Linked DNA regions of Lonchura striata. The protein of the gene in region 1 binds, or shares a complex with, the protein of each later gene. Links are inferred from orthologs where the notes say so. Each region holds a gene or a part of one and is shown on either strand. Other genes may lie near its edges. The genes, in order: OGT, KANSL1 and ZNF831.

What was found.
Region 2: OGT (region 1) and KANSL1 share a complex: the UniProt entries of both Homo sapiens proteins name them as parts of the NSL complex. The link is inferred for Lonchura striata from reciprocal best matches to the Homo sapiens genes OGT and KANSL1.
Region 3: the proteins of OGT (region 1) and ZNF831 are in contact, whole or in part, in a crystal structure (PDB 8FUF), measured with the Homo sapiens proteins. The link is inferred for Lonchura striata from reciprocal best matches to the Homo sapiens genes OGT and ZNF831. Residues at the interface, in NP_858058.1 of Homo sapiens: Phe723, Ile734, Met779, Ile787, Ile790, Asn791, Arg792, Gly793, Leu808, Ala809, Thr831, Arg832, Ser833, Gln834, Tyr835, Gly836, Leu837, Pro838, Glu839, Arg877; in NP_001371283.1 of Homo sapiens: Phe937, Ser938, Pro939, Lys940, Tyr941, Leu942, Leu943, Arg944, Leu945, Pro946.

The regions. Positions count from the first base shown.
Region 1 is NC_134616.1:18,902,287-18,906,726, forward strand, and holds the start of OGT (UDP-N-acetylglucosamine--peptide N-acetylglucosaminyltransferase 110 kDa subunit), read right to left. Parts: upstream 3,337-4,440; 5' UTR 3,205-3,336; coding exon 3,168-3,204; intron 1-3,167. UniProt on the Homo sapiens protein: Catalyzes the transfer of a single N-acetylglucosamine from UDP-GlcNAc to a serine or threonine residue in cytoplasmic and nuclear proteins resulting in their modification with a beta-linked N-acetylglucosamine (O-GlcNAc).
Region 2 is NC_134627.1:8,850,606-8,855,045, forward strand, and holds the start of KANSL1 (KAT8 regulatory NSL complex subunit 1), read right to left. Parts: upstream 2,884-4,440; 5' UTR 2,726-2,883; intron 1-2,725. UniProt on the Homo sapiens protein: Non-catalytic component of the NSL histone acetyltransferase complex, a multiprotein complex that mediates histone H4 acetylation at 'Lys-5'- and 'Lys-8' (H4K5ac and H4K8ac) at transcription start sites and promotes transcription initiation.
Region 3 is NC_134619.1:3,793,927-3,798,366, reverse strand, and holds the start of ZNF831 (zinc finger protein 831), read right to left. Parts: upstream 3,218-4,440; 5' UTR 2,935-3,217; intron 1-2,934.

The DNA.
Region 1 (4,440 bases):
ACTTTAATAAAGGACTTGAACAAAAGAAAATTTTGCTGTGTAAGTAGTGAAAGTTCTTAAAAAAAAAAGGCAAAAAAAGCACAATGGGTAACATTCACTGAATCCTGCATACTTCCTCTGAGGAGTCAAAATCCCTTCACAGAAAAAAAAATGGTCTTGGAACAACAATATCTGATGAGAGACAAACACACACTTCAATGATTATGCAACTAGCCTACAGGAGGAACCATTAAACAGAGAGGGTAGAAAGGAGTTACTGCTCCTGGAGGCTTAGCTGGAACAGGAGTGACAAAACAGTTTTAGTATTTAATACCCAACTGCAGAGAACAAAATACTTAAATGAAATGCCACCTATTTTAGACAAAGCAACCAGAAGTGAGAGAAGTAAGTAAAATTTCTTACAAAGTAATAAGCAAGTGCAACTTGGAAAACCCACAACCATTCATCATAGAAAGAAGTGTTGGCCTTCAAATTCTGCCTTTATATCAACAACTCTTACTATTAAAATGTTTGATTACTCCAAGTATCTCTCATTTTCCCTCCTGCACTCTGCAGCCCCTTAATTCCATTCATTAAACACTTTCCACCTCATCCTACAGTTTTAAAATTTGGACTCTAAATGAAACAGATAAACCTTTCCTAATACAAGAAAGCACCTCAATACCTGAACCTACATTTTTGTAGTAAGGTAGTACAAAAGTTCATGATTTTGTGAGAACTTTAAAGATGGCAAAAATAATCATAATCATATAATTTATATAATCATAAAGATAAATACAGATTTACTACCTAGCATTTATTTTATGAAATTGGGATTGATGTAATTTATTTAAATTACTTTCAAATTTGGGGGTTTAGCACCAGTAGGTTTCAGTATAAGACTCCAAGTCCTGTATGATATAAGTACAGTATTTTTTCCAGATAGTGTATTGTCTCTGCCACAGTAAATTTGAACTACCACTGCCAGTCTCTTTTTAGATAACTGACAAATTAGTAACCAAGTATCTTGATCCAGATTAGATTCCTGTTTTTCAAACCCTGAGTAAGAGCAACGTGGACTTCAGGATGTGGTTAAACATACTGGCAAAGGTAAAAAGGTACAACCTTTATTCAGTATGAGAATGTTGAACTGTGGCTGAAAACCACACTGCTTATAAATGGTGCTGACAGTAATACTGGAGCACCAGCAAACTGTTCCTCACTTGGTCCCTGTGCTGTTAACAGGTTTTGCCCTTCTGGCAGTCAGCGCCAACTTCCGCTGATGGCACAGAGAAACCAGATAGAGGAATAGCGTGTCTCATGAACTCAATTTCTTCTTCAAATACATTTCAATTGTTTTAGTAAATGTCAAAGAAAAAAAAAAAAAAAAAAAAAAAAAACCAACTAAAAAGCACCCCAAAGCTTAACACCCCAGAAGTTTTCACTTCAAGACTTATGACTGCAGGGAAAGAAGCTTTCAGTCATAATATCAATGCTACATTTTGCCTACTTAAAGCAAGAAGTCAAACTGCAGGTGCAACTGCCAGATCAAGAGAGCAGGCAGTGGAGATTTAACCCCTGAAAATGAGAACTACTAACAAAACCAACAAACGAAGAAACACTTGACACTTTCTTTAATTTATCAAGAGCCTCTGTTTACAAAACAAGCCAAAACCTTTGTCTCCAGAGATAGGGCAACCTCAGTGTAAAACTGCCAGTCATCTACCTCCAAGCAGTTATTTTATAATCGATTGTGAAGTACACTGAAAAGCAGAAGTGGACAGCCACATCACGAAGCCCAGAACAAATGAAACTTTTAATACAAAGTTGGCTGGAAGTTATGGAGTGCAAAATATCCATAAAAGAGCCCATGAAAGGATGCTCACTGAATCAATTAGTAAAGAAAATAACTGCAGTGAGAAGTCACAGCCAGGAAAATCCCTTTTCGTGTCTTGCATAAATTAATTTCTGTACCTTGGCTAATTTGTGCTGCATGCTTTGACTGTGACCTTGGAAAAGTCTAGTACAGTGCTGTGACAATGACCTTCCCTGAGGGTTCTGGACGATACAAGCAAACAAAAAGCTGCACAGAACCACCAGAAAGGCACCCAAGGCCATTTTCCCCCCACAAATACCATCCTAAGCACTTGCAATCAAGCTCAACCTTGCCTTCAGACACCATCTAGTTCCAGACAGAAGCAGTGGTTCCCTCCAGCTGGGAGGTGCTGGATAGCACAGGACTCCCTCCCAGCGTGCACGTGGCTCTTTTTACCCGCAAGGATCCCGGCTACAAGAGGATGCTGCAGCCTCGCTGACCACACACAGTTCTAGCTGAGAAAGTACGAAACACCGTACTGCAGCACTTCTCCGTATCACTACCGCTTCTCTTTAGATCCCTATCTCCTGCACCGCTGTCCCGTCTCTTTCTCCAAAAATCCTCCTTTTCCTTTTGCTTTTCCCAAGCATCATTTCAGCTCTCCCCACCCCCCCTGATTACAGAAACCCTCAAAATCTGGGGGATAAAGCTGCGCTGTCCTTTCACCCTTTCAGTAAGCCAACACTTCTTTCTCTTGCTGTACAAAGGAAGTCAGATTTCTCCTCCATTCCTCAAGTTCTGGATCTGCGAACTAAATTTAGGGCAGGATCTTTCCTTGATACAACACGCAATTTTACTGTTCAGAAAAGCGCTTTAGCGTTCGTCTATGCCACAGAATCATGGAACGTTTTGGGTTGGAATGGACCTTAAAGATAATCTCGTTCCAATGCCACCGCCACGGGCAGGGACACCTTCCATTCGACCAGGCTGCTGAAAAAAAAGTCCTGCCTAAGTGCAGCGAGCGATTCTGGGCAAACCAACGCACACTTTGGGTCAGGCTTTTACCCTACTTCGCCCTCTAACGCAGTCACCTGATAGTCTGGTAAATATAGCAGCGAGCCCGCCGCACTCACACCTCCCCGGCAGCGGCCCGGGGCTGCCCACGGGCAGCGCCCACCGGAGCGCGCCCGGGACCGCGCCGGGGCCCGGCACGCACAGACCCCACGGGCGGCGGGCACCGCGCCGGCCGCGTCCGGAAACCTCCGCTGGGCGCCGGCCCGGCCGGCGGGGAGCGGCCCCGGGGCCGAGGGCACGGCCGGGCCCCCGCCGTCCCCGGCCAGCCCGTCCTCGGCAGCGCCGCAGCGCACGGTACCTGTGCTGTCCGCCACGTTCCCCACGGAGGTCGCCATCGGGACAGGAGACGGGGAAGCTGTGGCGGCGACGGCAGAAGGTGCGCTCGGGCCGGGCCGGGCCGAGCTGCCCGCGGTCGCGGCGCGCTGAGGCGGCGCTCCCGAAATGGCGGCGGCGGCGGTACCGAATGGCCGCGGCCGGAACTATCCCCGCGGAAAAGAGTCCGGGCGGCGCCGGGCAGCGCTGCCACACGGCGGGCGGAGGGACCTGCTGCAATAGGCACGGGTCGAGATAAAGTTATCCTTCCGCGCGCAGCGCTGCGCCAACGGCGGCGGCACTGCGCATGCGCCGCCGCCTCCCGGCACTCCCGCACGTGGCCCCGCGGAACCGGCGGGACCGCGGCGGCGGGACGGCGGGGCTGGGACAGCGGGGCTGGGACAGCAGGGCTGGGACAGCGGGGATCGGCCGGCGGGGCTGGGACAGCGGGGCTGGGACAGCGGGGATCGGCCGGCGGGACGGCGGGGCTGGGACAGCGGGGCTCGGCCGGCGGGGATCGGCCGGCAGGGCTGGGACGGCGGGGCTGGGACGGCGGGACGGCGGGGCTGGGACAGCGGGGCTGGGACAGCGGGGATCGGCCGGTGGGGCTCACCGCGGCATCAGCTCAGACACAGTGCAGCTCCGTCACACGGACAGCAGAGCTCAATAACCGGGACACCGGAGCTCACCGTGTACCCGCACAGAGAAATGGCAGCCAAGGCGTCCGTGTCCCCATTCCTGCTGTACTGCATGAGCTCCGTCAGCCGCACCAGGACTCCACACCGAGCTCCGGGGACTGCACTAGCTCCCCGGGGCACTGAAAGTTAGCAGTCTCCGGTGAACCGGGAGCCTTCCTAAAGGTTCAAATCACCAAAAGTCTGGTTTCTGGAACCTGGAACTTACTGCAACTTCTAGAAAAAGCAGGGCAGCTGTTTCTGAGGTATTGGTAGGAGTTAGGCAGTTCCCAAAACCACTGAGGGGTCAGACATCAGACACTGTATTTGTAGTCCCAGAGAAAAAGCTCCCCTTTATGAAATGAAAATTGCCTTAAAATTGTTCATCAACAGCAAGTATTTCATTCTGAGCAAGCATTTTTCCTGACAGATACTCATTTATCCAAAGAGCCAGTATTTCTGAGGAATTACTTTACACCTATAAAGACTGAAGAACAAACCATACAAATCTCTATCTGGATTCTGGAACCAGTACAGGCTACAATAAGCCAAGGCTTCAGCAGGACATGCTTGTCTAATGCTTAT
Region 2 (4,440 bases), on another chromosome or scaffold:
CAGTGGCAAGGAGGACAGCCGGGCAGTGTGTTATCAGCACCCCACGTCCAGCACCCAGCGGGGTCACACAGTGAACACTAGCTATTCTTAAGGGTAACAAAAATACCTTTTCTGAAAGACAACAGCATGAGGAACTCAGCAGCTGCACACTCTGTCCTGATCTCCTCGCCCCGCTTAGAGAGAATTTTAGGGACACAGGACCCTACGATGGCGTGCGAACCTCTGGTGTTATTGGTTTTTTTAATCTACCTTGAATTAGGGCTCAGCTAAAAAGCAGAAGTAGCAACAAATGTGGTTTTATACTGGAACAGAAGAGTGAGGACAATCTGTTGTGGAGGAAGTTAAAAGAAATTCCTGTGCAATAAAGCTTCTGATCTTTTGTTCACTGTGCAGTGCAGGACTTTCTGCTGAGGCACAGACCAAGAGCCCAGATTCCAGCTTGACATTCCAGTACAGGTCTGGATCTTCCTGCAGCACAGACACAGCTGCAGCTTCCATCGTCCAGCCTGACCTGGAGATGAGTAGCAGAAATTGCTGTGCAGTGTAAAATTACACATGTACCTTCTATGGTCCTGCCAGTCTGTTTCCCACTCAAAACTGTGCTACAACTGGTCACCTGGCCACTCCAGGGCCAGCCACCTACCTGTCCCTCACACAGGATGTTCCTGATCTGGAGATGCCCCCATGAACAAGAGCAGCTCTCCCCAGTGAAGCCCCATTTTTACATCCTTCGAACTGTCCTGTTCTGCCAAGCATCCAGAACACCCAAAACACAATATCTGGTGAGGGCTGTGTACCCAGCTATGCACACCTAATTGTTACCTCATCTTTCCACCTATTAATCCTCCTCACTTCCTCTGATTGGACCTGCCTCAGAAATTTAATAGTCTCTATACAGTAACTATATGCATATCAGTACATAAAATAACTCTTAAGTGTTATTATTTATGACTTTTGAGCCTAAACCCATGCTATTTCTGTTTGGGAAACATCCTGAATGTGGGAAAAATGGATGGCCACTAAAAAACACAACAACAAGACTCTACCTGCTCTTAATACCAATACTTCCTATCACAAGTCCAGCATGGGAGAATCGGAGCCCAGGCAACCACAGGGGAATGGCAATGGGGCGGAGAAGGCAGCGAGTCCCCGTTGTGTGAGCAGGGCACAGGCAGAGCTGGAGCAGCACATCCCCTGGGAAGGAGCAGGCAGGGCTTCCTGCTCCTCTGCTCCCACAGACCTCCTGCCCCTCTGAGGAGGCTTCACAGAACTCAAGGGCTGGAACGGAGCTGGTCTCTCCTGTGACAGTAAAGCACTGCAAACTGTGGCAATAGAACACTGCAAACTGTGACAGTAAAACACTGCAGACTGTGGCAATGCCAGGTGCCAGGAGCTTGAGCACAAGTGGGGGTCACAGTGAGAAAGGCCCTCAGACAGATCCTAGCAGAGCAGTAAAGCAATTCAACTTGTGACACGCTCAACACACTCCAAAAATCAAGGTCCAGCAAGATCTGCCCTCCAGAAGCAAACACCCCTCAGCAGCAGAGCTGCCGAGGGATGTGGTGGCCGGACACGCCGAGTGCCCCAGCAGCACACGCAGGCACTGCTCCTTCTCCCAGCTCCTGCCAGCTCACGGGAGGCACAGAGGATCCAGGGCACCCTCCCGGGGCCCTTCCTGCCAAAACCCACAACAGGGAGATTTAATTCCACTTTTAAAGCCCATAAAACAACTCAGTGTTATTCCGTGTACAAAGAGCAAGAGCTTTGCTGCTGTGTTGGCCGACTGAAGATCAGATACCACAGCAGATTTGGGTAGGGTCAGTGTGAACGGATTGAAATAAGATTTTTGGTTTTCCCATTACAAGAGAATTTGTCTAAATTCAGCCTCAATAATTGGCCTAAAGTCAGGCTGCTTTGACTTGTAGATTTATGAAAAGAGGGAAATATCCTTCCCTTTAGCACTTCTCTTCAGGTTTTATTCAGCTGCACAGAGCTCAATTCCTGTACCTGAGTGTTTAGGACACATTTGTAATGTGCAATAACATCGGCAAGGCAAGAGGCCAATTTTCTGAAGAAGCACCAGCAAAGCCTCGCCAGGCTCCACTCTGGACCCAGGAGCACCACGGCTGCTTCACACACCGGGAAACCAGAGAAACAGAAATGTGAGCAGGAAACTCCAGCTTTAGACCTTTGGTTTCCACAGGACAAAGCCCCTCTGACAGGTGTACACAAAACTCTTTTGATACTATAAATACATACATAAACCAGATCAAATCAGGAAGTATAAAGGACCTTAGAGTGTAAACCTGGGGTTTAAGGATGAAAACAATAAAGAGAGGGGAAAAAAAAGCAGGAGATCTTTCTTTTTCTGGGCAAGTCATGCCTTGATGTCTCGATGCTGCGGCACACAAGGACAGGTAACACCTGAAAATACACACACATGCTCCTGAGAGGAGCCTCCACATCTCTTCACTACAGGCACTGGAATGGCTTTGGAGAGAGAAGCACCCTGTGCACGCACAGGATGAATCCACACTTCCAGCCATCATACCAAACCTCCATTTTAAAGTTGTGCATCAGCCAAGAAACTACGTGCAGGGCTCCAGCGTCACCCTGCAGGGTCAGGAGCCCAGGCAGCACCCGGCAGGGCAGCTGGGCACACCGAGCGGGCCGGCGCCGGGAGCGGAGCCCCGGGCAGCCGGGGAGCGGGGCAGGCGGGACGTACCTTGCTGGGCATCCTGGCCAGGCCCATCCTCGCTCACACCTGCGCTCCAGGTGGGCAGCCCGGGACGGCCTCCGGATCCTTCCAGCCGCCGCCGGCGGGATGCAAGTTTCTTACCGATTTACTCGAGGAGGTGGGGAAGTGCGGGAGCTGGGGACAGAGAGGGCTGTCACAAGGGGCCCGCCGCCCCCTCCCGCCGTCAGCTCCATCCCGCCGCGGGCTCGGGCCGGGCCCGGCAGCGCTCGGGGCGCGGGCCCGGGGCCGCCGCCACCCCCGATCCTTCCAGAAGCCCCCCGGGCCCGGCCTCGCTTCCCCGGGCTAAAATGGAGGCGCGGGGCGGGCGGGGGGACCCCGCTCCGCTCGGAGCCGACCGGGCCCGGTCCCGCGGGGCAGCGCGGCGGGGCGGAGCGCTCCCGGCGCCCCGGGCCCGCCGCGACCCTGCCCGCGACCCCCGGCTCCCGGGCGGGAGCAGCCGCCCGCCCCTCCCGGCCCCGCCGCGGCCCGGCCCCCGCAGCCAAGTCGCGGGACGGCGGGGCCGGGGCGGGGCCGGGGCGGGGCCGGGGCCGCGACCCCCGGGCCGTGCGCGCCCCCGGCCCGCGGCCGCCGCGCGCCCCCCGCCCGCTCCTACCTGCGCCGCTCCGCCGCCTTCAAGCGGGCACCTTCCGCCCTCCCCCGCGCCCATTGGCTGCGCGCGGGGCATGGGCGCGCCCCATTGGCTGCGGCCGCGTCAATCAGCGCGGGGGGCGGGGCGGGCGGTGATTGATGCGGTGCCGCCGCTCGGCCCCTGCCCCGCGCCCCCCCCGCCCGCGCCCCCCGGGCCACCGGCCCCGGGCCCGGCCCCCACGGGCGGACCCGGGCGCGCCACCCCGCCCGGGGCGGCCGCGGGTCCGGCCAGGCCGCGGGAGCACCGGGCGGGGGGACACGGGGAGCCGGTGTCCCGCGGGTGGCACCGGGGCGGGAGCCGGGGGGCGCGGGTCCCGCAGCGGGGAGGGACCGGCCGGGGGCCCGGGAGGCCCCGCCGGGACGGCGAGCCCCGGCACGGGTGGCGAGGGCTGCGGTCCCGCCGGGCCCTGGCCGCGGGTGGCACCGGGCCCGTGTCCCTGTCCCACGGGGCAGCGGGGCCGTGGCACCGCTCGCCCTGTCCCCGAGGCACGGGACGCCCCCCGGTCCCCGGTGACCCCGGGGCCGTCGCACTGCCATCTCCTCTAGACACAGAAAACTCCCCAATGGCTGCTCCTGAGCGCTGCTGTGGGCACAGCCCTCCAGCTGCTGCCACTCTTGCCTTTTCAATTCGTCTTTTAGTTTTTATCCAGTCACGGGCCAGGTATAACTCCAATAAAAGACTTGATCCATGTCCCACAGGCCAAAATGCAGGTGAGCTCCTTCACTGCTCACTCTTGGGACAGCAGGGCTGGGAGAGGATCATGGAATCCTGGAATGGTTTGGCTGGGAAGGGACCTCGGAGCCCATCCAGCGCCACCCTGCCATGGCAGGGACACCTTCCACTGGCCCAGGCTGCTCCAAACCCATCCAGCCTGGCCTGGGACATTCCAGGGATCCAGGGGCTGCTCTGGGCACCTGTGCCAGGGCCTTGCCAAACTCTGAGTAAAGAATTTCCTCCTAATATCTAATCTAATTCTCTCCCAGGTTGAAGTGGTTCCCCTTCTTGTTCTATCTACCTGTGTACAAGGTTACTCTCCCTCTTTTTTTCTAAGCCC
Region 3 (4,440 bases), on another chromosome or scaffold:
TTACATGCAGCAAGTAGTTTCAGCTCTGCTGGGAGATACTTTCCTAAAGGAATGTGTTCTCACCTCTAAGTGAGATCTTCTGGAGGATTACTGCATGCTACAGTCAACAAACCAACGGGGAAAAAAGATGCACATCTTATAATAGAACACTGGCATGAATCAAATCATACAAACAGATGATTATGGGCATTTTACATAACCAGTCAAAATTAGTTTGTCTTCAGTTTGATCACATTTCTGGAGCCCATTATTTTTTATTACACTTTGAGACTGACTGTTATTAAGTTAAGGTGAATTTACTTAAAAGGGACACTTAATTTAAACAGTACTAATAATTGCAGCAGTATGCTGGAACTAGTGACAAATTGAAAACATGTATAAGCATTTAAAATTAATTATTGAGATCACTCAGTATCAAATTCCAAATGCTAAAACTGCAAGCTGCTTATCCTGAGAGACTTAAGGAGACCATAATTAATTAAAGCAAGTTACAGCAAAAGCAATTGGCTGTCTGGATATCTGCCACTATCACAGAGATTTCAGGGTTTAGCAGAACCTTTTGAAGCTTGATCTAAAATCTCTAAATCTTGGATGACTCTGGAATCAGGGTCCTTCACAGCATCCTGTGATTCTTCCCATTTATGTGGTTGAATAGGCTGCTGTAATGGCTAGAAGTAACAAAATACAGAGCACCAGTATTACACTGCATTAGCTGTGTTTGAAATTAAGTGATTTTTGTTGTCTCTTTCTAATCAATCTACTTATGTGTTGCTTCCTCAGCTGCAATCTCTATGCAAGATTATTTATATTCATTTTAAATTCAAAATATTGTCCTGCTCAGAGAAACTCGGGTAACTTCAATAGACAGCAAAGTATGGATTTAAACTATGCACAAAGCTGAACCCACTGTCAGGTGCTGCACAGGAGGGAGTTCTGGGGCTGTACTCCTCTCTCAATTCATGTCCCCATCAGGATTTGAGGAATTAAACCCCACACCATTGGTACACATTTCTGGGTCCCAAGTGGAAAAGGTCCCACCCCAGGTATTTAAAACCCTGCATCCTTCAAAGACACCTACAGAGTTTTGACAGGGGTGTGAGCAAGTGAAAGCAGCAATAAACATTCTTCCTGTGCTGGTGAGGAAATTGATTCCAAAGATCCTGCAACTACACGTTTGAAAGAACTTTGCAAAGTTAAATGAAAAGAAAGTATCTTCCAGGATTGCTAATTATTAATTTTTCTTGTGAAGGCAGAGATGCTGAGAGCAGCACACAGTATCTTACTGTCAGAGAAAGATGCAGACAGTGGGATTATAATTTCCATTTGCTCATCCAACACTGACAGCCTGCACAACTCCCTTGACAGACCACACAAAACTTCTACTTCAATCTTAGCACCATAAAATCATTGGGAACCATAGGGTCTGAAATAAACTTTGTGCAGGTACTTTAAACACTCCTTCTGTGATGGAAGCAAAAAGTTTGTGAGTTTACCCCAGGTCTGGAGTTTTTAGTTCTCAATTCAAACAAGCAAAATGGAACCGACACATTTCCTGGTTAGCCCAGAAATGACTGTTAATCTCGTTTAACTTGAAAACTATTTCTGCCTTTGCTCTTTTCTCAGTTTGACTTCCTATCTTGAAATGTCTCATAACAGAAGTAGTGAGTTCACCTTTCCCCTTGTTCTTAAGGGATGTCTCTGATCTCACAACTCTGCCAGTTCCACCCGCAGCCTGCACGCTGCCGGTACCTCCTGAACAAAGTTGGGAGCCTCAGTCCTCTGCAGAATCAGGCTGAAACTGTTTAATTCCATCATCTCCTGAAACCTTTAGAGTTTTTCCATAGTCACATCTCAAATTCTGACTTTGGGAAATCTTGCTGCTTGGTACAAGTCATTGTTCTGAAGTTTTGCCTTCTTCATGTGCTATTAAAGTACAAAGGCACTGGAAAACCAGCTGGGGGAACTTGGAAATTCTTGTACCGTATCAAAAGGATAAATATTTTTGACACTTAACTTCTACAGTTATATCAGCAAAGCTGGTTAGGTTGGGCTTTTTAAAACAATTATTTCTGTAAATATTGTGCCAGAATACAGTTTTAAAATCTTTTAGGAAGAACGGGATCTGCTTTACCTTCCCTTTGTTCCAGAATAGAAGCAACTGGTTTTATCATAATTATACAGTTTTCTATATTTTCCTATGTTTCTTTTCTTGAATATCCATATATGAAAACATTCCAAAGGCTTAGATTAGTAAAAATATTGTTACCCAAAACACATTTTAATGTGTAAGTAAACACTGTATTGGCTTTTTTGACCTCTTCATGCAATTTGTATCAAGAATATTTCCTTTTCTACTTCTTACACTGCTACTTTTCTCAGCTCTAGCCATAAGAAATGCTTTCTAGTTTATTATAAGTCTTTAGTTTAGATTTACATCACTATTTCTAAAAAGAAACATACCTAGCATATCTGTTCGTTTTATAACATGCTTTGTGGCTTGACCATGAGGAAAAAATAGGATCTTTAGTGCTTAAAAACCTCAAAGTATTTCAATTCTTTTATCCTTTCATCAAATTTGCTCCTGTGCATTTCCCGTGTTAGGAAAGAGTTAACAACCTCCAGCCAGCAGACTGCAATCAACAGGTTGCTCTAACAGAAAAATAATAACCCTAATCCATCTTTTAAAGTTTAGAAGGTTGGACTAAATGATGAAAAAATACCGATTAAAACCCTCTGAAAAGCTGAAGTGGGGCCAGAACTGAAATGCTTTGTGTTTTATGAAAAAAAAATCTTTCTCGTTGCTAAGTGAAAGAACCATCATAATTAAAAAAAAAAAAAAAAAGCCAACAACTGTAACTTTAAAATTTCTGGCTTGCCATCTAGAACTGAATTCTCTCTCTGTCCATAGAAAATGACAACAAAACACTTGCTAACCTTTAGGTGGCCAATTCACAGGCAGGTGGAGAGGTTCAGGTCCCTGGAATAGCGTTGAAACAAAAGAAGCATCCTGTTTTCTTTTTTCAGTGTCTTTCTCTTCTCCTTTTTTTTTAAGCATTTGAACAGTGAAGGGTGGGTGGTGGGGTGTGTGCAGAGAGAGCAGGGGGTGCAGGCAGCCCACGCTGGTGTAGGAAGAGTTTTAATGGCCGATGCTGGGAATATGGTTTGCCTGCTACAGTGTCTGCACTACTGCAGCTCTGTGTGTGGGCGTAAAGAAATGACACGACTGGGTTTCAAACCATTACACTGAAGATTTGCAAACAGTTAAAAAAAAAAAAAAATACACAACCCCATCAGGCACAAATGAAAAATTATGATTTTTCTCCTTTTATCTTTTTCTGAGGTTTTTTTTGTTGCTTTGTTTTAACTTAACAGATGTAATCCAGTCAAGTTTCTTCCTCAGCCTCTAAAAGAAAAAAAGGTAAATTGAGTATTTAGGAAGGTTTTCTACTTTACATAGTATTAATATTTTGTTGTCTTTTTTGCTGCTATTTTTTAATTAATCTACAAGAGCTTGTATTTCTGAAGAGTATCCAGATTTCCCCAGAGAAAGTCTTCAGAGAACACCTATATTTGTGCTTTAGAACATGCTAAATAGGTGCCTAAATTGTGGTAGCACCAAGTAGCACAGTACAGTACACAGAGCAGCCACTCCACAACTGGCCAGGCAGGACATCTGAGCCCAGGACTATTCCTTGGAAATGCCACAAAACACAGCCAAAAAACCAGGACATGCTGGCAGCCCAGTTTTGTTCAGTAGTCCAGCAACACCTCAGGTTTACTGATCTAAATTAGGCAGAAAACAGACTTGAATATTTGTTGTAACTACTGGAGACCAACAGGAGTGAGACAAAGGGGCTGTTCCCTGTCATATCATGGGGAATGAGAAGAAAATGGGATTTCAGCTGATATAAAAGTGCTGACACAAGTAACAGGGACTAAAACAGTTATGAACACACTGTTGTTGGGAGGGACAGGTGGAAGGTTTTGTCAGAAAAGCAAGAACACTTCTCAAACATATCTTTTTCCATATTTTTTACTTTTTACAGACAAAACAGTTTTAGAAGGGAACTTGAAAACTTCAAGGAATCTTTATGACTTGGCTGCTCCATGACTGACACTTGATAAATGTGTATCTCCAGGTATGTTGAGAAGAGACAACTAGGTAGAAAATCTTGTGTTTGGGCAGAAGGCATGTGCTCTCTGGGGTGTCGGGGTTTAGGTGTCCATCTTTTCACACATCCAGATGAGCCCCAGATAATGCAGGATTTCTGTTGCCTTTGGTGTTGTGCTGACAATGAAAAGCAGAGCAGCTGCAGGCACAGGGAAAGGGGAGTAAATGAGGGGAGGCTCTGGGTGGTGCCCCCACCCAGAGCTCGCAGCAGGGTATCCCTGGCAGTCATTTTTCTCCTCACCCAGAGATGAGGAGCCAGAGCTGAACAT